Ovis aries: one gene and its partners. The protein of the gene in region 1 interacts with the protein of each later gene in a pairwise test. Links are inferred from orthologs where the notes say so. Each region holds a gene or a part of one and is shown in the gene's direction. Other genes may lie near its edges. The genes, in order: PEX19, PEX10, PEX11B and PEX16.

What was found.
Region 2: the proteins of PEX19 (region 1) and PEX10 interact in a two-hybrid assay, tested with the Homo sapiens proteins (4 studies listed by BioGRID and IntAct, with this or other methods). The link is inferred for Ovis aries from reciprocal best matches to the Homo sapiens genes PEX19 and PEX10.
Region 3: the proteins of PEX19 (region 1) and PEX11B interact in binary tests that used the Homo sapiens proteins (3 or more experiments, as listed by UniProt). The link is inferred for Ovis aries from reciprocal best matches to the Homo sapiens genes PEX19 and PEX11B.
Region 4: the proteins of PEX19 (region 1) and PEX16 interact in binary tests that used the Homo sapiens proteins (3 or more experiments, as listed by UniProt). The link is inferred for Ovis aries from reciprocal best matches to the Homo sapiens genes PEX19 and PEX16.

Annotation. Positions count from the first base shown.
Region 1 is NC_056054.1:111,303,489-111,308,192, reverse strand, and holds the start of PEX19 (peroxisomal biogenesis factor 19), read left to right. Parts: upstream 1-1,422; 5' UTR 1,423-1,434; coding exon 1,435-1,504; intron 1,505-2,894; coding exon 2,895-3,004; intron 3,005-3,433; coding exon 3,434-3,599; intron 3,600-4,059; coding exon 4,060-4,145; intron 4,146-4,354; coding exon 4,355-4,516; intron 4,517-4,704. UniProt on the Homo sapiens protein: Necessary for early peroxisomal biogenesis. Acts both as a cytosolic chaperone and as an import receptor for peroxisomal membrane proteins (PMPs).
Region 2 is NC_056065.1:49,745,375-49,750,201, forward strand, and holds the start of PEX10 (peroxisome biogenesis factor 10), read left to right. Parts: upstream 1-1,598; 5' UTR 1,599-1,667; coding exon of another isoform or gene 1,668-1,779; intron 1,780-2,213; 5' UTR 2,214-2,278; coding exon 2,279-2,396; intron 2,397-2,718; coding exon 2,719-2,799; intron 2,800-3,152; coding exon 3,153-3,553; intron 3,554-4,729; coding exon 4,730-4,827.
Region 3 is NC_056054.1:99,243,844-99,248,433, reverse strand, and holds the start of PEX11B (peroxisomal membrane protein 11B), read left to right. Parts: upstream 1-1,428; 5' UTR 1,429-1,455; coding exon 1,456-1,511; intron 1,512-2,314; coding exon 2,315-2,430; intron 2,431-2,833; coding exon 2,834-3,035; intron 3,036-4,590. UniProt on the Homo sapiens protein: Involved in peroxisomal proliferation. May regulate peroxisome division by recruiting the dynamin-related GTPase DNM1L to the peroxisomal membrane. Promotes membrane protrusion and elongation on the peroxisomal surface.
Region 4 is NC_056068.1:74,871,902-74,876,543, reverse strand, and holds the start of PEX16 (peroxisomal biogenesis factor 16), read left to right. Parts: upstream 1-1,395; 5' UTR 1,396-1,461; coding exon 1,462-1,573; intron 1,574-1,788; coding exon 1,789-1,824; intron 1,825-2,641; coding exon 2,642-2,718; intron 2,719-3,026; coding exon 3,027-3,160; intron 3,161-3,299; coding exon 3,300-3,400; intron 3,401-4,333; coding exon 4,334-4,414; intron 4,415-4,563; coding exon 4,564-4,642. UniProt on the Homo sapiens protein: Required for peroxisome membrane biogenesis. May play a role in early stages of peroxisome assembly. Can recruit other peroxisomal proteins, such as PEX3 and PMP34, to de novo peroxisomes derived from the endoplasmic reticulum (ER).

The DNA of each region.
Region 1 (4,704 bases):
AGTCAGACAGGACTGAAGCGACTTAGCAGCAGCAGCAGCAGATGGGACCAGATGCATTATCTTAGTTTTCTGAATACTGAGTTTTAAGCCAACTTTTTCACTCTCCTGTTTCACTTTCATCAAGAAAGTGAAAGAAAAAAAGAAAGTGAAAGAGGCTCTTTAGTTCTTCTTCACTTTCTGCCATAAGGGTGGTGTCATCTGCATGCCTGAGGTTATTGATATTTCTCCCAGCAATCTTGTTTCCAGCTCCTGTTTCATCCAGCCCAGTGTTTCTCATGATGTATTTTGCATATAAGTTAAATAAGCAGGATGACAATATACAGTCTTGGTGGATTCCCTTCCCTATTGGGAACCACTCTGTTGTTCCATGTCCTGTTCTAACTGTTGCTTCTTGACCTGCATACAGATTTCTCAGGAGACAGGTCAGGTGGTCTGGTATTCCCATCTCTTGAAGAATTTTCCACAGTTTGTTGTGAACCAGAGTCAAAGGCTTTGGCGTAGTCAATAAAGCACAAGTAGATGTTTTTCTGTTCAGGGAAGGAACTCTACAGTACCTTTTTGCTTAATCCAAAGTCCAAGAGTCGCTTTTCTACCCGATTTGATTAGACTAATATCGAGTTCTAAGTTCTTGGCCCTGTGATAGTTTTAATGGGGTACAGGAAATGTGAGATAGCCAGTAGATTCTGCAGAGAAACATGCCTCTTTAGGATCTGAGAGAGCAAAGAGTAGACAATGAATGCCCAAATTTTAATCCCCAGCCCAGGAGCTAGGGATGCAGCAGTGAAGATGACGGATGAAAATCCTTGCCATCATCGTGCTTAAACTGCAAAGGGCTTAACGGGAGATAAAAACGATAAATAAGTAAAACGTATAGTATGTCACATAGAGGTAAGTTTTGAGAGAAATGGAGGGAAAGTGGGCAGGATTTGTATATGTATGTGTGTGGGAAGGGTTGCAGTTTTATTTAGTGAGGCCAAAGAAGGCATTTCAGAGAAGATGACATATGAGTAAAATACTGAAGTGAGAGAAAACTACCATGTTGGGTATACCGTAACTTCCTTATTGATTACAAACGCAGAGCTTCTGGTGGCTCGTGGGCAGTTTGTGCCAATTTGGCATACCCACAGCTCTGGAAAAAAATAATAAGAAAGCCAGGTAATGTGGGAAGTTGAAAGAAAGGAAGCCAGGCCAGTAAAAACAAAAACAAAAAAAAACCTGGCAGAAGGTAAGAGCAAACTCACCTCTGTTAGGTCAGCGTGCCAGTAGAAAGAAGAGGGGTGGCGGGGGCGGGAATCGGAGCATCCTGTCCCTTTAAAAATGGCGGCCCGGCACGGACCAACAATACCATTGGTTGCGCGAGCAGAGGGGGCGGGCACAGGGGCGGGGCGCGGAGCCTCGGAGTCCCACCTCCTACGGCAAGTCAGAGGTGGCAAGATGGCCGCGGCTGAGGGGGACGGTGGTGTCCGGGCCGAAGCCGACCGGGAATTGGAAGAGCTTCTGGAAAGTAAGAGCCCGTCATGGGAAAGCCCCAAAGAGGGCGGATGTAAGGATCCATTCAGGGGGTTAAGTAAACCTGCGATGTTTGGGGCGGAGTAAGAAAGGCTCTCCAAAGGCTGGACGGGGGCGGAGAGTCTGACTGCGACCCTCGAGAAAATCTCTGGGTCACCCTCTCCTTCCTCTGCAGCGGTAGTTGAGGAGTTCTCTCTGGGTCCCTGAACGGCCCACACTGTTGATCGCCCTGCCGGAGGGGAAGCTAACCCAGAGGACGTTTCACGCTCCCTCTCCAAACTCCCCTTACTTTAGTAAGTTCTGAAGTCTGACTTTCTCCCCACCAGCAGCAGCATTTGGTCCTCAGGGGGCAGCGAACCGAACAACCACGAATTGCTTCCATTAACTATTAGGAAGCCTGTAGTGCGTTCTTCTGTTAACTGTCCTGCCCTCCTTAACAGAAAAGACACTCCTTTTTTTCTCCCAGTCCTTTCATCCACCAGGCCCCTTTCCAGTTCTTTCATCATGTCAGAGCTCAAACCCTTCCCATTAGTTTGAAAAACAGGATGAGACAGCCTCAGGGGAAGACAGTTCACTCTGGAAAGAAGGTGGCTGTACTTTTCCTCCTCAGCCCTGCCATCCACTCCTGTCTGGTTTGGTTTCTTGTCCAGAGTGGGGCTGGTGTCTTTCCCCCTAGGCCTGGCAAATATAGTGGTGGTGAGAACACAGGCTTTTCAGGGTCGAGGTGAATATTTATTGTCTCTTGCTCAGTCACAGAGTGGGCAGGCGGAAAGGTGAACAGAAATGGTGAGAAGTGCTAAGTGACTGTGTGAGTCTGCAGAGATGAGACCACAGGGAGCTCTAGCAACTCTGGGGAGGGAGACCTAAATTGAAAGAGAAAAGAGAGTTCAGGGCCCTCCCGTGGAGTATAATATGGAGTCCCTCAGTTTGTACCAGGACCCATGGGAAGCTGGGTGAAACATCTTAAGGCTTCTGCTCTCTTGCCAAAGATTATTCCTTGTAGGGCTCCAGAGTGAGTTCTAGGGGGGTTAAGGACATCTGTGTTCTCTGTTTCTCTTGAATATCTGTATGGGATTTCTAGGAACCATTAAAGTATGGCAAAGAGGCATTGTGTAGATGAACTGTCCTCTTACAGCTTTGAGAGATGTTTTTTTACACCTTAAGAGACTTCTTCCCCTGTGATTACAGTATGTTAGGTAATGGGGAGGGGGAGGGAGAAGCTTATTGAGGAGTGGGTCAGGAGAGGGAGACTCAAAAAAAAGGAGAGCATTTTAGGAAGGTTGGCAGCTTGAAAGATTGTTTTCTTAATGCTTTGCTCAGAAACCCCTCTAGCCTTGCATTCTCATCCATCACCAACACATACACTGTGTCTCTTGTCTCTGAAGGTGCTCTTGATGATTTCGATAAGGCCAAACCCTCCCCAGCACCCCCTCCTACCACCACGGCCCCTGATGCTTCAGGGCCCCAGAAGAGATCGCCAGGAGACACTGCCAAAGTATAAATTCCACCCACTTAAGGGATGGGGAGGGTGTGGGCGTGCAGCTCCAAGCAGAGGTGGGGCAGGCCTTTGTGGGCCAGAGGGGAGTCGGGGAGGGTGCCTTGGCCTCACATTGGTGAGTGCTCTTGCAGGCCTCAGTCCTTGTGAAACAGGGACTTGAGATTGAGTACAGGGATCTCAAGGAAGTTCCTTAAGAAAAGAACAGATTTAAATGGTTGGATTGGGAATACCAGCCCATAGCCTTCCCTTAGTGGCCAGATGGCCTTTTTGCTGTTCTCATGAAGGGAAGTAGTCAGAATGCCCAATGGAGGTGGGTAGGAGGGAAGCACTGCACCTCCCAGCGCCACTGCCTGTGGCTTCTGTCAGAAACCATGTACACTGGGGTGCCAAGTAAGAGATGCGCTTTGGCCACATTCTCCCCTGCAGGATGCCCTCTTCGCCTCCCAGGAGAAGTTTTTCCAGGAACTGTTTGACAGTGAGCTGGCTTCCCAAGCCACTGCAGAGTTTGAGAAAGCAATGAAAGAGTTGGCTGAGGAAGAGCCCCACCTGGTAGAGCAGTTCCAAAAGCTTTCAGAGGCTGCTGGGAGAGTAGGTAAGGAAGAGAAACAGTGCGAAATATCTGAACAAACCTCTTGGGTTATTGTCCCTTGACAACACCAAAATTTTTTGTAAAAGTTGACAGTAATTATGATACCACTGCCATGGGATGGGGGAGGAGATGGAAGGAAAAAGGAGACCCTGTTTAATGAAAGGGGTGAGATAGGTTGGAAAGTAACAGAAAAGATTATTGAAAAGTGATAATTTCATTTTTATTTATTTATTTTGAAAAGTGATAATTTTAAAGATCAGTGTTAATGTGGGTGTCATTGTAGAGAACAAACTGAGACACAGTCCATGTAGATTTATGAAAATAACTATGAAGATAAACGTATTCAAAGATTTGGAGTGTAGCAATTCACTAGTAAATGCTCCATGTCCAAGCTGGTAACCAGGTCAGTCTTAAGCAAGCAGTTAAAATCCTAAATGACCTAGGCTCTTTTCATCTCTCCCAGGCAGTGATGCGACTTCCCAACAAGAATTCACCTCTTGCCTAAAGGAGACGTTAAGTGGACTAGCCAAGAATGCCACTGACCTTCAGGTGAGAGGGAAGATGGGGAACCACATGGGTCCCACTCACAGAGATTTCACCGGCAGAGCCTCAAAAGACAGACTCTCTTGGGTGTCATCTCAAGTCTGTTCTTGCTTATTTTGCTACAGGCATGTTTAAATAGTTCTTTCCCACCTGAAAAGTTGGTTAGTGTCCCAAGAAGGTGGTATACTTGCTCATTTCTCTTCTGTTCTTTCTAGAACTCTGGCATGTCAGAAGAGGAACTGACCAAGGCCATGGAAGGGCTGGGCATGGACGAAGGGGATGGGGAAGGGACCATCCTCCCCATCATGCAGAGTATCATGCAGAACCTACTGTCCAAGGATGTGCTGTACCCATCACTGAAGGAAATCACAGAAAAGGTTTGTGAGCTTCTGTTTATGCTTTTCCTCCTTATTCCTCATTGTATCAATTCCCATGGGCTACTTTGTCTATTTAGAAACTGTAAAGACAGAGTAACTCAAGTGTACAGGTTCATCTGTTTTTTTTTTTTTCCCCTTTGTTTATTTATTTGGAAGGGGAGAGTTAGGGAGGAGTTGTGTCTCCAAGA
Region 2 (4,827 bases), on another chromosome or scaffold:
GGGCGTCTCTGGGGCCAGCCTGTCTGACGAGAGTTGGCCAGAAACTAGTGAGGCTTGTGTCTCCACCTGGCCTCTGCCTGAGGGTCCACCCCAGACTACAAACCAAAGCAGTGGGTGGCCTCTGTGACCAGGGTACACAGACAAGGGCACCACTCCAAGGGTCACTGGGGCTTCAGTAGCAGGAGGGACTGTGGGACCACCCAGGTCCTGTCTCCTCCCTCTAGGTGGGGCCTGCCTGCACCTGGTGGAGCCCGACGAGACCTGAGTCTGTCCCCAGGCTGGCTCCGTGCAGCTGAGCTGTGCTGCCTGGGCACATACCAACATTCATGTGGGAGCAAAAGTGAGGCAGGAGCTGCAACCCATCTCAGCCCACACCCTCCCAGCCAAAGTCAGGGCCCTGGTGGTTCCCCTACCCCCTCGGGTCACATGCCTCCTTTCTCTCCTACCCCTTAGGTCCGAAAGGACAAGGCCCTCTGGTCCTTGTGGCGCGTCCCTACAACCCCCTCCACTGAGGCACACATACAACTGAGGCACACATACAGACACTTTGATGCTGCAGTCCATGGGGACAAAAAGAGTCGGACACAACCGAGTCATTGAACTGATGGCCTGCTCACTTCTCAAGTGACTCAGTGGTAAAGAATCTGCCTGCTAATGCAGGAGACACAGGAGACTGGTTTGATCCCTCAGTGGCGAAGATCCCCTGGAGGAGGAAATGGCAACCCACTCCAGCATTCTTGTCTGGAGTATTCCATGGACAGAGGAGCCTGGCGGGTGACAGTCCATGGGGTGGCAAAGAGTTGGACAGACTGAGCAAGCACACACACACACACAACCTGCTCCAGACCCAGAGCCCTTAGGACACCCCAACTGCCTCCTCTCACTGCCCTCTCCCCAGGCCCCTCACTGGGCCCTGAACTGCAGCTCAAGTCCAGCTGTAGCCTGTGCCTGGGCATCGGGATCCCCTCTGGTGCGTGGCCTCCCAGTCTCCCCACCCCCCACCCCTCACCCCTGCGGCCCTCTTTGGTCCCTGCTCTGAGAGAAGCTGAGAGGAGTCGGGGGTCTGCACGTGTGGGTCAGCCGCTAGTATAAACACCGAGGTTCAAGAATCCGCGCTCCCTGCCCTCTCCCGGGCCCCAGAGCTCCTTTCCTGGGCCCACAGGCGGGTCGCAAGTATTAGAACTCAGGGGCGCCAGCGCCCCTCAGAGAGAACTGCAGGGAGCGGGGAGACCACAGCCCACCTTACTTCCGGCCCCGGGGGCGGCCAAGTGCCCCACCAAGGGGAGTCAGCACCTGCTGTGGCTCTGACTCCTCTCCCAGTTTCTGGGGGCCGTCCCCGCGGTCACTTCCCACACTGTGCCGCTCACCAGTCCCCGGCTCACCCGCCCCCTTCACCCGCCCCCTCCACCCGCCCCCTTCACCCGCCCCCTTCACCCGCCCCCTCCAGCCCTGCGTCCGCACCCTGGGCCAGGTTCGCGCCGCTCGGACCGCGCCGCTGTCAACCCCGCCCCGCCCCAGGCCCCGCCCTCAGTGACGCGCAAGGTCTGCGCCGCACGCCGAGCCCAGTTGTCATCTGGCGCCGCCTCGTGGGCGTGGCTATCTGGGTGCCTCCGTCGCCTCCCTGTACCCCGGTCCCCAAGATCCCCGCGGCCCTGCGACCCTTGACCATGGCTTCCGCGGCCGCCAGCCCGCCGGAGGTGGTCCGCGCGGCGCAGAAGGACGACTACTACCGCGGCGGGCTGCGGAGCGCGGCGGGCGGCGCCCTGCACAACCTGGCAGGTGAGGGCCGCTGCAGGGGTCTTGGGGGCCGTACGGGCCGTGGGGGCGCGAGGCGGGAAAACGAGCCCCAGGCCCGCCGGTCAGCCCTCTGCAGGCTCGGCCTAACCCTGCGCGCCCCGCGAGACCTGAGCTGAAGGAAGGAGCGGATGCTCCGGTCTTTGACCCCTGCTGCAGAGGGCGAGGGCGGAGGCCAGGCACCAGGCGCAGAAGAATTCACGGCTCTGCTGACACGAGGCTACCGTGGAGCAGGGTCGTTGGAGTACAGTGTAGGGGCAAGAGGGTGGGGTAGATTCCAGCCGACAGCGGGCTCCTTCGGAGCAGCTGAAGGGAAGCTGGACTGTACACTGGGGTCGGGTGGCCATGGGCCGGCCTTGGGCAAGAGAGGAACACGACAGGATCAAAACAAATGGCCCGTGTATTAATTTTGCTAACAGGTTCACTTACTCCATGCCAGACACTGCTCTCCGTGCTTCAGAACATTAACTCGTTTTGTTAACACATGCCTGCCTGGAGGACCTGTTGCCATTACCCTCCTCAGAGACAGAAAAATGGGGATCACAGAGATATAACTCACCTGAGCTCACAGCCAGCAGTGTGGGAGCTCCGGTTTGATGCTGGTCAGTGGTCTTGGCTTGAGCTCCCGGTCACTGTGTTACACTGCCTGTCCTTGTGGTTCTCTAGGTTCTAGAGCAGTTGCCTAGGTGGATCCTGGAGGGGGCATGGCTGCAGGTGGGTAGGTTCTCAGGACACTCAGGGCCCAGGCGAGGCAGGTGTCAATGGAAAGAGTGAACAGCGTGAGAGTCCAGGGAGCGCGAGCAGAGTGTGGGGAGCGAGTCAGGGGCTCGCTGAGCCTGGGCAGCAGGAGCGAGGATTGTTCTGACCCTCATGCCCCACGGCCCCCAGCCCCTCAGGAATAACGCATACAGTTTCTCCTCTCAGGTGCGAAGAAGTGGCTGGAGTGGAGGAGAGAGGTAGAGCTGGTGTCAGATCTCGCCTACTTCAGCCTCACCACACTAGCAGGTAGCGGCCACAGTGCAACCTCCCGAGGGGCCCTGAGGACAGGAAAGGACTGCCTGCAGAGGGAGCTTTCTGGAGGTGCTTCACAGTGTCCCTCAACTGGCCCGCATGCAGCCTCTATGAAGGAAGGGACCCAGACCCCTCCCTAGGTGGGGCCCAGGCCCTGAGTCCAGGCCAGGCCTCTGGAAGCCCTGAGGTTCCCTGTCACATCTGTCTAGGACTGTTTCTCTGCAGCTGAACCTGTGGCCCGAGGGGTCCCAGCACTGTGCCCTGCCACAGGGTGTGGGCTGTGAGGATCATCCTTCGGAGGGGAGGTGGGGGCCCGGTAGAGATCACTGAGGCCCCTCTCCCTGCAGGCTACCAGACCCTTGGGGAGGAATACGTCAGCATCGTGCAGGTGGGCCCATCACAGCGCCACGTGCCCTCAAAGCTGCGACGCGGGGTCCTGGTTGCGCTGCACACCGTCCTGCCCTACCTGCTGGATAAGGCCCTGCTCCACCTGGAGCACGAGCTGCAGGCTGCCGGCGACAGCGCTTGGCCCTTGCGGGGCAGCCTGGCCCCCAGCAGCCAGTCAGGGGTGAGGCGCTGGGTGCACCGGCGCATGGCCGGCCTGACAGAACAGCAGCAGGGGGTGCTCCTGCGGGCCATGTCAGTGCTCAGGCAGGGCCTCGGGTGCCTCCAGCGTCTCCACGTGGCCTGGTTCTACATCCACGGTGTCTTCTACCACCTGGCCAAGAGGTTCACGGGCATCACCTACGTAAGTAACAGGTCTGGCTTGTCTGTGGAGGCTGTTCTTCGGGGACTATGCCCACAAGCAGTCACAGGGCCGGAGCTGAAATCCCCACTGGAAGCATGGGTCTTGTCGGGTCCTGTTTTACTAAAAGACCGGAGGAAGTTTGGTTTCCAAATACCCTGATGAGGGTGGGGTGAGCCTTTTTTCCACTGCCAGCACCTGTGGCCACGTTGCTGTATACCCGGGCTCCTGGGCCCTATGCCCACCCCATCCAGGCCATCCTTACAGAGGGTCAGGTTTGGGGCCATCCCCCTGAGGATGACCCAATAACAACCACATGGACCCTGTTGCCACCAGCATCCCTGCTAGCCTCCCACCTGGGGAGGTCTGATGGTCTCTCTAGACCTGGTGGTCTCCGCCCATCACAGGGACTCCAACCCTGCTGGGTCTCAGCTGATGCCCTGGCTTCAGAGTTCATCCAGAAGGCCTCCCCTTGGGCCCCACCTCCCCAAGGTCTCCAGGCTCTCCCCCACCCCCTGGCCTCCCTTGGCAGGGGTGTCCAGCGCCTCTGCGCCTCCTCCTCCCAGCTCCAGTGCTCACTGCACCCGCACTACCCGTTGTGTCAGGTGTCTGTCGAGCTGCTGCAACCCACTCAGGGCCTCGGGGCAGCCACGGGGTCTCTTGCTCCGCAGACACCAGGGCCCCACCTCTTGGGCTCCGGCTGGTCTGGCTAACCTGACAGTCCCTGCTCCCAGCTAGGAAAGGAGACAGCAGTGGAGGGCAAGCAGCTTTCCATTGGAGGATGTGGCTGGGAGTCCCAGCCTGCAGAGAGTCACCTGGGCAGCCCAGGGCCTTGATACAAGCAGGAGCTTCTGTTTCCGAATGGGGATGAGTAGTGGATCTGCCATGCAGGGCTCGCCTGCCGTCCGCAGGGCTCCCCCGCTCAGGCCTCTTTGCTGGTTCCTTTTCTGTGAGGCTTGAGTGCCTAGCAGTCCCCTTCCTACGATGCCTTGCTTGCAACCAGTGACCTGCAGGCTCCCATCGCCATCCTCGTTGCTCAGTGCTGGGCCCACCAGGCACTCCTGCCCGCTCCCGCAGCCAGAGGCAGGCTTGGCTTAATCCCACCTGAAGGCCAGGCCCTTGGGCTGCTCAGTGCCTCACGCCCTCTGACCATGTGACTATCCCCTGGGTCCCTGACAGCTCCGTGTCCGCCGCCCACTCGCAGAGGACCCTCGCGTTCGCGCCAGCTACCAGCTGCTGGGGCTGGTGTCCCTGCTGCACCTGGCGCTGGCTGTGGG
Region 3 (4,590 bases), about 12 Mb from region 1:
TGTAGTAAAAACAGACTCAATAGAAATACAAATTAACATGCAATGATCGTAACTTGCAAAAGAGCAGAGGCTCCCACCCTGAGGATTAATGTTGACTATGGCCAAGCACACCCCTTGAATCCGAAGGCTCATGTTATGTACTCAAATTCTTGTCCAGTCTAACCCTGAGTCCCAAGTCACTCACCTGGGGCAAGGTGAGCAGGAAGCTGAGTCCCCAGGCTACCCCAAGAAGTTTCCTACCAGCTGAGCGCAGTCCAAACGGGTGGAGTACGGCTGCTTGGTGGTCGAGCCCAATAATTACAGGCAGGAAAGCTGCGGCCTACATGGCTACTAGTTTCAGGAACGTGAGTGTACGACATGCAAAGTCCCCGGCCAGCCATTGAACAGTGATATTCCAGGTCGCAACTTGGGGCATAACCACAAAAGTGACCAGTAAGTCGGCAACTGCTAAATGGGCGAACAGTCGTACCGGAGAGGGACGGAGCTGGCTGGGTTGCGGCCGTGTCCCTGACCACACCACGGCCAGGTTCCCTCCAGCCGAAGAAACAAACAGCACGACAGTCACTCCCACTCGCACCTTGGCGGCAACTGAGAAGGTGGGCAGCTCTGCGCCCTCCACCTCTACTCCTGATCCTACCCAGACCTCCTCCCCCGCCGCTGATGACCCCCAAGGGGTGACGTTGCCTGCAGACATTGTGACCTGGAAAGAAAAGGGGCGGGGCGATGAAGTGTGGGTCTGAAGAGGTGAGCTGCGTCCAGTTTCTTCTTCCTCCTTAGGATCTGAGATGGTTATTTTGCGAATTTCGTCCACTAAAGCCTCTATCTCTGGAGACTCCGTCTGTAATCTGGAGGTCACCTGTCCAACTGTCAGGGGCTTGTAGGGACTAGGAATCTGGTGCTGGTTTCTACTTCCGCAGACTCCTTTAGCCCCCTGGAGCCCTGAATTCGATAGAAGCGTGAGAGTGAGTGTGTGTGTGTGTGTGTGTGTGTGTGTGTGTGTGTGTGTGTGGCGAGTGTTCCGCTGTAAGCACCCCTGGGTCAGGGGCAACCCCATCCTAGTGGTCCTGGAGAGAGCACTGCGGCGCCTTCTCGCTCCGCCCCGACTCCTGCAAGCCTCGCCCTTGGTCCAGAATATTTAAAGAAGACTGTGCCTCTGGAGGCTTGCTCATGAAATAGAGATCTTGTGATTAGAGAACGAGACGACGGAGACCACGCACACAGACACACACCCCTCCACCTCCCCCAATCCCCCCTGCCAAACACACAAACCATACAGATGTAGGCCCAGAGACAAGTGCTTCTCGTTCTGAAATTCCGTTTCAGGGGCCGGTTCCACTCGCTTCAGTTTCTGATGATGTTTGTCCCTCGTGCGGCACCGTTGGGTCGTTCGGGAGGCGTGACTAGGGGCGGGAAGCGAGGCGGGAGCGGAGCTGCAGAACGGGTGCCGCCGCTGTCATGGACGCCTGGGTCCGCTTCAGCGCCCAGAGCCAGGCCCGGGAGCGACTGTGTAGGTGCGGCCCGAATAGGAAAGGGGGACGGGCGGGCGGGCAGAGGAAGAGCCTCGTGAGGCGAGGTCAGTTCACACTACGGGGGTCAAAAAGGGTCAACTCGGGCTACGGGGGCCCGGACGGACCGCGAGGGGCTGATTTGAGCCGGCCGCGAGGCCTTGATTCGTTCCTGCTCGTGAGAAAGATGGGGAAACTGAGGCACGAGTGGGCCAGCGGGCAGGCGGCTCAGGGTTGTGTGTTCACAAAAGACCAATACTTTCCTCCCTGGGCGACGGTGGGACGAGGAGCGTTCTCCCCGTGACAGATAGAGATCTGGACTGTGTCCTCAGAGCTAAGGAGGCACTCCTGAGTTCCTGTTATCCCCTTTACCCTCCGCCCTCCACCTCCGCCCTGCCTTCTAGTCTTCATTCATCTCAAGGGCCTTGAAGATCTCTTAGTTCACCTATTTTGAAGACTAACCTGTTCTCCAGCCATCTCCCGGCCCTTCACAGGACATTGCACACTCACTGAGGTGCTTGTGGTCTTGCGATGGTCCTCCTGCCTTCTTCACTCTCCTCTTCAGGCTGCATCATTGTTAAATCTCATTTCCTCAATTCGAAGTAGTGTTCCCCAGCCCCTACTAGGCTCTGTTGTATCCTCAATGCCTTTCTCTTCCCTTGGCCTGGGGGAGAAACTAAGATATAGGCCTGAAGAGGAGGAAAGGGAACGGTCTCAAACTGGGAAGGGGGTGATCCATGGTTGCCTTTTGGAGGACATTTTTGAGGGGGAGATAAAGGAGGTCTCTACCTTACCTCTCTCTCCTCCAGGGCTGCCCAATATGCTTGCTCTCTTCTTGGCCATGCACTGCAGAAACATGGGGCCAGTCCTGAGTTACAGAAACAGATTCGACAACTGGAAGGTCATCTGAGCCTAGGAAGAAAGCGTAAGTAACTAGGCCTTTCCTTTTATTAGTCCAATACTTCTTCCATCCCCAGCCATTATTCCTTAGTCCCTCCTTCCTATTTTTGACCAGTGCCAATGCATCGTGGTTTGCCTCTGTACTTATCCTGTGCAGGCCTCCCAGCTGAGATAAGACAGCAGGGATAAGGTCAGTGAGGGATTGGAGAGAATGAGGCAGATTTGAGAAAGCTAAACTGGGACACAAATTAATAAAAAATTTGAACTAAAAAAGATTAAACTTTCTGCTGTTTTTTAAAAAGTTGTTTATTATTGTTTCTATCACTTGCCTGACTTTCATTCTCTTGCTTTCCCTCTTTCTCTGTATCTTGTTCTGTGTCTGCCTTTCTACTTTCAAATCCTTGCTTTCCGTTGCTAATCTCCACAAGTTCTACGCCTTGGTAACTCAGCAGATGCCCTTGAGTCAGCCAAACGAGCTGTGCACCTATCAGATGTTGTCCTGAGATTCTGCATCACTGTTAGTCATCTCAATAGAGCCTTGTACTTCGCCTGTGACAATGTCCTGTGGGCTGGGAAGTCTGGACTCGCTCCCCGTGTGGATCAGGAGAAGTGGGCCCAGCGTTCTTTCAGGTTTGATATTCTTTTATCCTACAAGGTCTATCTATTCTTCATACTGCCTACCTTGCCTTTCATGAGAGAACAATCTTTTAAGGTCTTCCCAGAATATACACGTCTGAATCACTTGGCTTCAGATCTTCATTTAGATCTTATACCATCAGAGAATAATGAATGGGGGCAGATGGAAGAGGGATGCTCTTTCATGGCGAATGACTAAGATTGGACAAGACTAGATATTAATTATATTGCTTTAATTCTTCTTCTGTCTATACCACAGATTTATGCCCCTCATTGTCTACACATTCATTCATTCTAAAAATACTTAGTAGCTGCTTACTGTGAGCCAGGGAATAAAGCAAAGAGCTAAGTAGATATGGTTCCTGCTCTCATGAAGCTTCTAGTTTAGTAGGGGAGTCTGATATTAAAACAAATAATCACCAAACCAAATATTTGTGGGAAAGTATAGGATGTTAGCCCCTGGAGGAGGGCATGGCAACCCACTCCAGTATTCTTGCCTGGAGGATTCCATAGACAGAGGAGCCTGGCGAGATACAGTCCATAGGGTCAGAGTCGGACACAACTGAAGCGACTTAGCACATACGTAGGATATTAGAGCTTTATAACGGGGGTGCTAATATAGATATAAAGGTCAGGGAAAAGAGAACCCTTTGAGAAAATGAACTTTTATTTCAGACCTGAAGTCTGAGTAGAAGTTATACAAAGCAAGCAGTATAAAGAAGAAACAGCAAATGACTTATTCTAAGGCTTTGAGGCAAGAAAGACTTCTTAGAATTAGAGCGGTGGAAAGAAAGCCAGTGTGGTTGACAGTACTGAGGAAGGGCACAAGTTCAAACTGGAGAGGTAGACCAGGGCCAGATCATTCATGCAAGGTCGTCTAGGTGATGGTAGGATTTTTTTCATTTAGTTTTGTTTAAATTTTATCCTAAGTCCAGTGGTTCTGAGCAGGGATGTGACATGATTCAAACTGCATTTAGAAGATCTGTCTTTCTGTACTGTGGAAAATGGATTGCAGTAGAACTAAAGAGGAGAAGATTCTTTAATGTGACCATGAAATGATGTTGGCTTGGATTAAAGAGCAGGCTGGTAGTGAAGGTGGAAAGGAATATGATTTGAGAATAAAATTTTCTGTCTATATATCACCTATATTTGTTTTTTGCTTCCCTATGATTTGCTTTGTTATTTTACATTATATTGCTTCTTTCCATCTCTGCTTATGTCTTGCTTTTCATCTTTCTCAGTGATTTACAATTATAACAAGGCTTATGGTATATGAAGGATGGGGGCAGAGGCATGGATAGAATGGTGTGAAAAAGCAACTCTCTAGAAGAGTTTCTATGCCGTGTCTACTCTTTCATTCCATAAATATTTCTTCAGCTCTTACTATGTGCTAGGCGTAAGTCTAGACACAAAGATGCAGTGGTAAAGACAAACAAGAGCCTTGCTCCTATGGAGCTTACATTGTAATGGGAAGGGACAAAGACACAGTAAATAAGAAAAACGTCAGAGAGTGGTAAATGCTGTGCAGGAAATTAAAGTAGGGTCAAGT
Region 4 (4,642 bases), on another chromosome or scaffold:
TCAGGATTTGAAAGAGCTCAACTGGAATTCCATCACCTCCACTAGCTTTGTTCGTAGTGATGCTTTCTAAGGCCCACTTGACTTTACATTCCAGGATGTCTGGCTCTAGGTGAGTGATCACACCATCGTGATTATCCGGGTCGTGAAGATCTTTTTTGTACAGTTCTGTGTATTCTTGCCACCTCTTCTTAATATCTTCTGCTTCTGTTAGCTCCATACGATTTCTGTCCTTTATTGAGCCCATCTTTGCATGAAATGTTCCCTTGGTATCTCTAATTTCCTTGAAGAGATCTCTAGTCTTTCCCATTCTGTACTATTCTCAGAGTACCATAAACCTGCTGCCCTGGTCCCCAACAGCGCAGCCCCGTGGGCCCCAGCCTTGCCCCGCCCCTTTGCCCACAGCCAATCGGCGGCCGCCTCTTCCGCGCATCCGTTCCCTCCACCTCTGGCCGCTCCTCTCCCGCCGCCACTTCCTTCCAGGGAGGCTACCCTGTTTGGGAAGAGATTCCCTGGAGAAGTTCTCATTTCTTGGGAAGCAGCTGAGAGCTGGAAGATGCACCGGAGGGCCAAAAAGCGCTGTGAAATTGATCCCGAGTTCAAAGAGCCCGTCTGCCCTCTAACCATTTTACAGATGGGGAAACCCGAGGCCCAGAGAAGGGAAAATCCTCGTTAAGGTCACCCCGAGCGGAGAGCAGAAGCCCAGGCCAGGCTTTTCTCCGTGAAGATGGGAGTTCAGGTGCGCGATTTGGCGGGAGGGCGGCGGGAGGGAGGACATGCTCCTTGTGGGAGCCGGGGCACTAACGATGCTGGCCAGGGGGATCTTGACTGCGTGGGAGGCTGGACTTCTCGCTGCCTCAGTTTCCCCAGCACTACCTCTGGGAGAAGTCAGGCGACGAGGCAAGGGGCCAAACGCGCGCCTGCACACAGTCCGATTGTCCTTAGGCTGTCCCCGCGCTCCCCACCCGCCCAAGTCTGATGGAGAAGGCTCCTCTGTGGGCGCTGCCTCCCAAGCCCTTTAAAAGCCAGTCCTCCCGTTCGAGCCTCTCGGCATTCTATTGGGAAGGCTCTTGATCCCTACTCCAGAATTAACTGCTCAGGCTGCCGCGGGAGCTTTTTCCCGGAGCTCTAACTGCGCAGGTGCAAGGCAGCAAACCCGGAAGGCGGAAGAGCCGGTGGGGCCGCCGGGGTCGGGGGCGGAGAGCGTGTGAACCAATGACCTGAAGGAGTTAGGAAGGGCGGGATTAGGCCCGCGGTTACTTAACGCTACCCTGGTGGGAGGTGATTTAAGAAATGGGGTGAAGGGTGCCTCAACTGCCCTTCGCGTCGCCGTCCTTCTGGCCCGCGGAAGTTAAGCAGCAGAGAGGCGGGCCCAGCGCCGGAAGCAGGAAGGAGGGCGCAGGAAGCAGGGCCCCGTAGCCAGTATCGCTGTCGGTCCGTGGGTCTGTCGGTCCCGAGGGCAGGATGGAGAAGCTGCGGCTGGTGGGCCTCCGCTACCAGGAGTACGTGACTCGTCACCCGGCCGCCACGGCCCAGCTGGAGACGGCAGTGCGCGGCCTCAGTTACCTGCTGGCAGGTGCCACCCTGACCTTTGACCCATCCCTTCGGATCTCTGACCTCTGACCCCACCTGCCTCCCCCTCCCTTCCCTGCGGAGCCTGGGTAGTGATCGCTGTGCTTGAGGAGTTCCTTCCAGGTTCCCGTTAGGGCATAGGGAGGGAATGTCCAGGGGCCCGAAGCAGCAGGGAGAGGCAGACTCTCACCGGCGCCTCCTTCTGTGCCTTCTCCCCAGGTCGTTTCGCCGATTCGCACGAGCTGTCAGAGCTGGGTGAGCCGGGCTCTGGGGTGGGTGGGGGGCGAGAGGGTGGGGGAGGGCTTCCTAGATTTCCCGTTAGATCATCCAGTTCTGTGATTGAATCAGACAGGGGTCCAGCGTCCACTGTCCTAGGCCGTCGCGTATGCCCCCTCCCCCGCCATAGTTGAGAGATATGTCTGGGGACCTTGACTGGTCAGGAGGCTGAGCCAAGCGTCCCTTCTGCCTTTGCTCCGTTAATCTTCCCTACAGTCATGTGAAGTGGGTACTGTTATTGTCCTCCTTGTCCAGTTAAGGGAACAGAAGTTTAAGTGAGGTTAAGGAACAGCCACCGAAGGCCTCAACCAGAATTCATGTCCCAATCTCCCAAATTCCAGAATGCCCAGGTTATAACTGCTTCAGTGGTGTTTACCCAGTCAGTACAGGAGAGACAGATCCTGAAAGGATGAGCTGGGTTCTAAAAGGTAGGGATGGAAGAGAATTTCAAGGACAGGCTGCAGAGAGAGCAAAGACCAGGAGGTGACTGCACCTCCCATGTCTCTTCGGAGCATGATGGGCGGTTCTGGGCTGCTGGATAACCAGTGCTATTCAGCAGGACAGTAGCTGGTATGTCATAGAGATCAAACCATCCTTTCTTGTTCTAGCTGCTCACACAAAGGTCGTTGAGGGGAGTGGAGAGCTCTGAGGAAGTGGGTGGCAGGACCTGTTGTTTCCACATATTGTGGGGATGGCTGAGCACAGCAGGGGATAGGTGATCCCTGCTGCTCTAGGGAGAGGGGGAGGGGGTGGAGGCTGCAGAGCCAGCCTCTCAAGGCCACTCTCTGCCCCTCAGTGTACTCTGCCTCTAACCTGCTTGTGCTGCTCAATGACGGAATCCTACGGAAGGAACTTCGGAAAAAATTACCCGTGGTAAGAATTGTGAAGCAGAGGGCTCAGGAACAAAATAGTAACCACCAGCCCGTGTTTGGGGCACGCATTATGGTCTCCTGGAGTACGAGACATGGCTGCATCCACCTGTGCCTGTAGCTGTTGGGCGACAAGTCCAGGCATCAGTGTCCCCTTATCAGGTGAAAAGACTGGGTTTCACAGGGTAGAGTCGCCTGTCCCAGCAGGAGATCTCAGGCTTAAGCACTTAATCTTGGGAAGGGGAGGTGTCCCCTGGGGGAGGAGCTGAAACCAGGGGGACCTCCTGACCTCTTGGCCTGGGGTTCTTGCAGTCCCTGTCCCAGCAGAAGCTGCTGACATGGCTGAGCGTGCTGGAGTGTGTGGAGGTGTTCATGGAGATGGGGGCCACCAAGGTGTGGGGTGAAGTAGGACGTTGGCTCGTCATCGCCCTCATCCAGCTGGCCAAGTATGTCGGGACTGTGGAGGGCCGGCCTGGGGTGGGGGTCACTGAGACCAGCTGTACCGATGGTGTTCAGTAGAGCAGCCTGGACCCCTGCCAGCTAGCCACCTCCCCCTTCCCCAGCCCTGCCGTACTCCCAACCCAGGGCTGTACTTCGGATGTTCCTGCTGATCTGGTTCAAGACTGGCCTCCAGACCTCACCCCCCATCGTTCCGCTGGACAGGGAGACCCAGGCACGGTCCCAGGGTAAGTGCCTACCCACTCTGGAGTGGAATGGGGCACGGGGCTGATTGGTAAATGAGAGCTGACCTACGTACTGTCACCGTGGAGCACACCTCTCCCCATCAACTCATTTTGTCCTCATCGTCTTATACTGGTATTTTACAGAAGAGAAAGAATGATGAAGTCAGAGGCCAGATCAGAGCTTAAACTCAGAGCTTCTGACGTTGGAGTCCTCAGTCTCCATTGTTATGGGCTGCGGGAAGAGGGGACAGAGCATCAGGAGGAAGCAGGGGTCTTGCCAGCCTTGTCTTTGGGCTGGCTCTGTATCAAGAGCACAGCCTCATGAGGCAGGGTACCCAGCAGATGCGCCCCTTCAGGGCTTTGGGCCCATCAGCTGCTGGCCTCTGGTCTTACCCCCTTGACTTTGAGTTGGGGGCAGGTCTTCACTTCTGTTTTCATGGTCATGTTGAAAGCAAAGCTCTCAGAAGATACACCCTTCCCCTCCTTCTTAAAATTTTTTGTTTATTGGCCACGCCACACGGCCTTTGGGATCTTAGTTCACTGACTGCGGGTGGAACCCTCGCCCCCTGCAGTGGAAGCATGGAGTCTTAACCGCTGGGCCACCAGGGAAGTCCAGATATAGCCCCTCTGGCTGTGGTTCCCATGGACCACCGGCCCCCCTGCCTTGTTCCAGTGCCTGGGAGGCCTTAGTTCTTGGCTGGTATATCTGCACAGGTGATACTGGCCTTTCCCCAGGTTGGGGAGGGCTGCAGAATGCTCCCTGCTATGGATAGGTCCCAGGCACAGCCTCTGCTGTGGTGTCTTTGACTCAGCTGCTGTCTTCGTACAGGTTTATCCATTCTCCCCATAGCCCATGAGCGTTCACTGCACCTGCATTCGCTTGTAGGCTCTGCACGTGTCCCTCTGACAGTATGACCTTTTATCTGTTGCTGCTAGATGGTGACCACAGCGCTGGTAGCCAGGAGCAGTCATATGTGGGGAAGCGGTCAAACCGGGTGGTGCGAACCCTCCAGAACAGTAAGTGTGGGAGGTTGCTGGATGAGACAGCTCGGTGCTTAGGTCAGCGTGGGCCTGAGGGCCTGGCTTTCGTCAGTGCCTGCCTGCCCCCGCCCCAGCCCTCGGGCCCAGCCTCTTACCTACCTCTTACCTCTTACCTTGTGTTCTAGCTCCGTCCCTGCACTCCAGGCACTGGGGGGCCCCGCAGCAGCAGGAGGAGCTGGGCGTCGCCCCCACCCCACTGGGGCT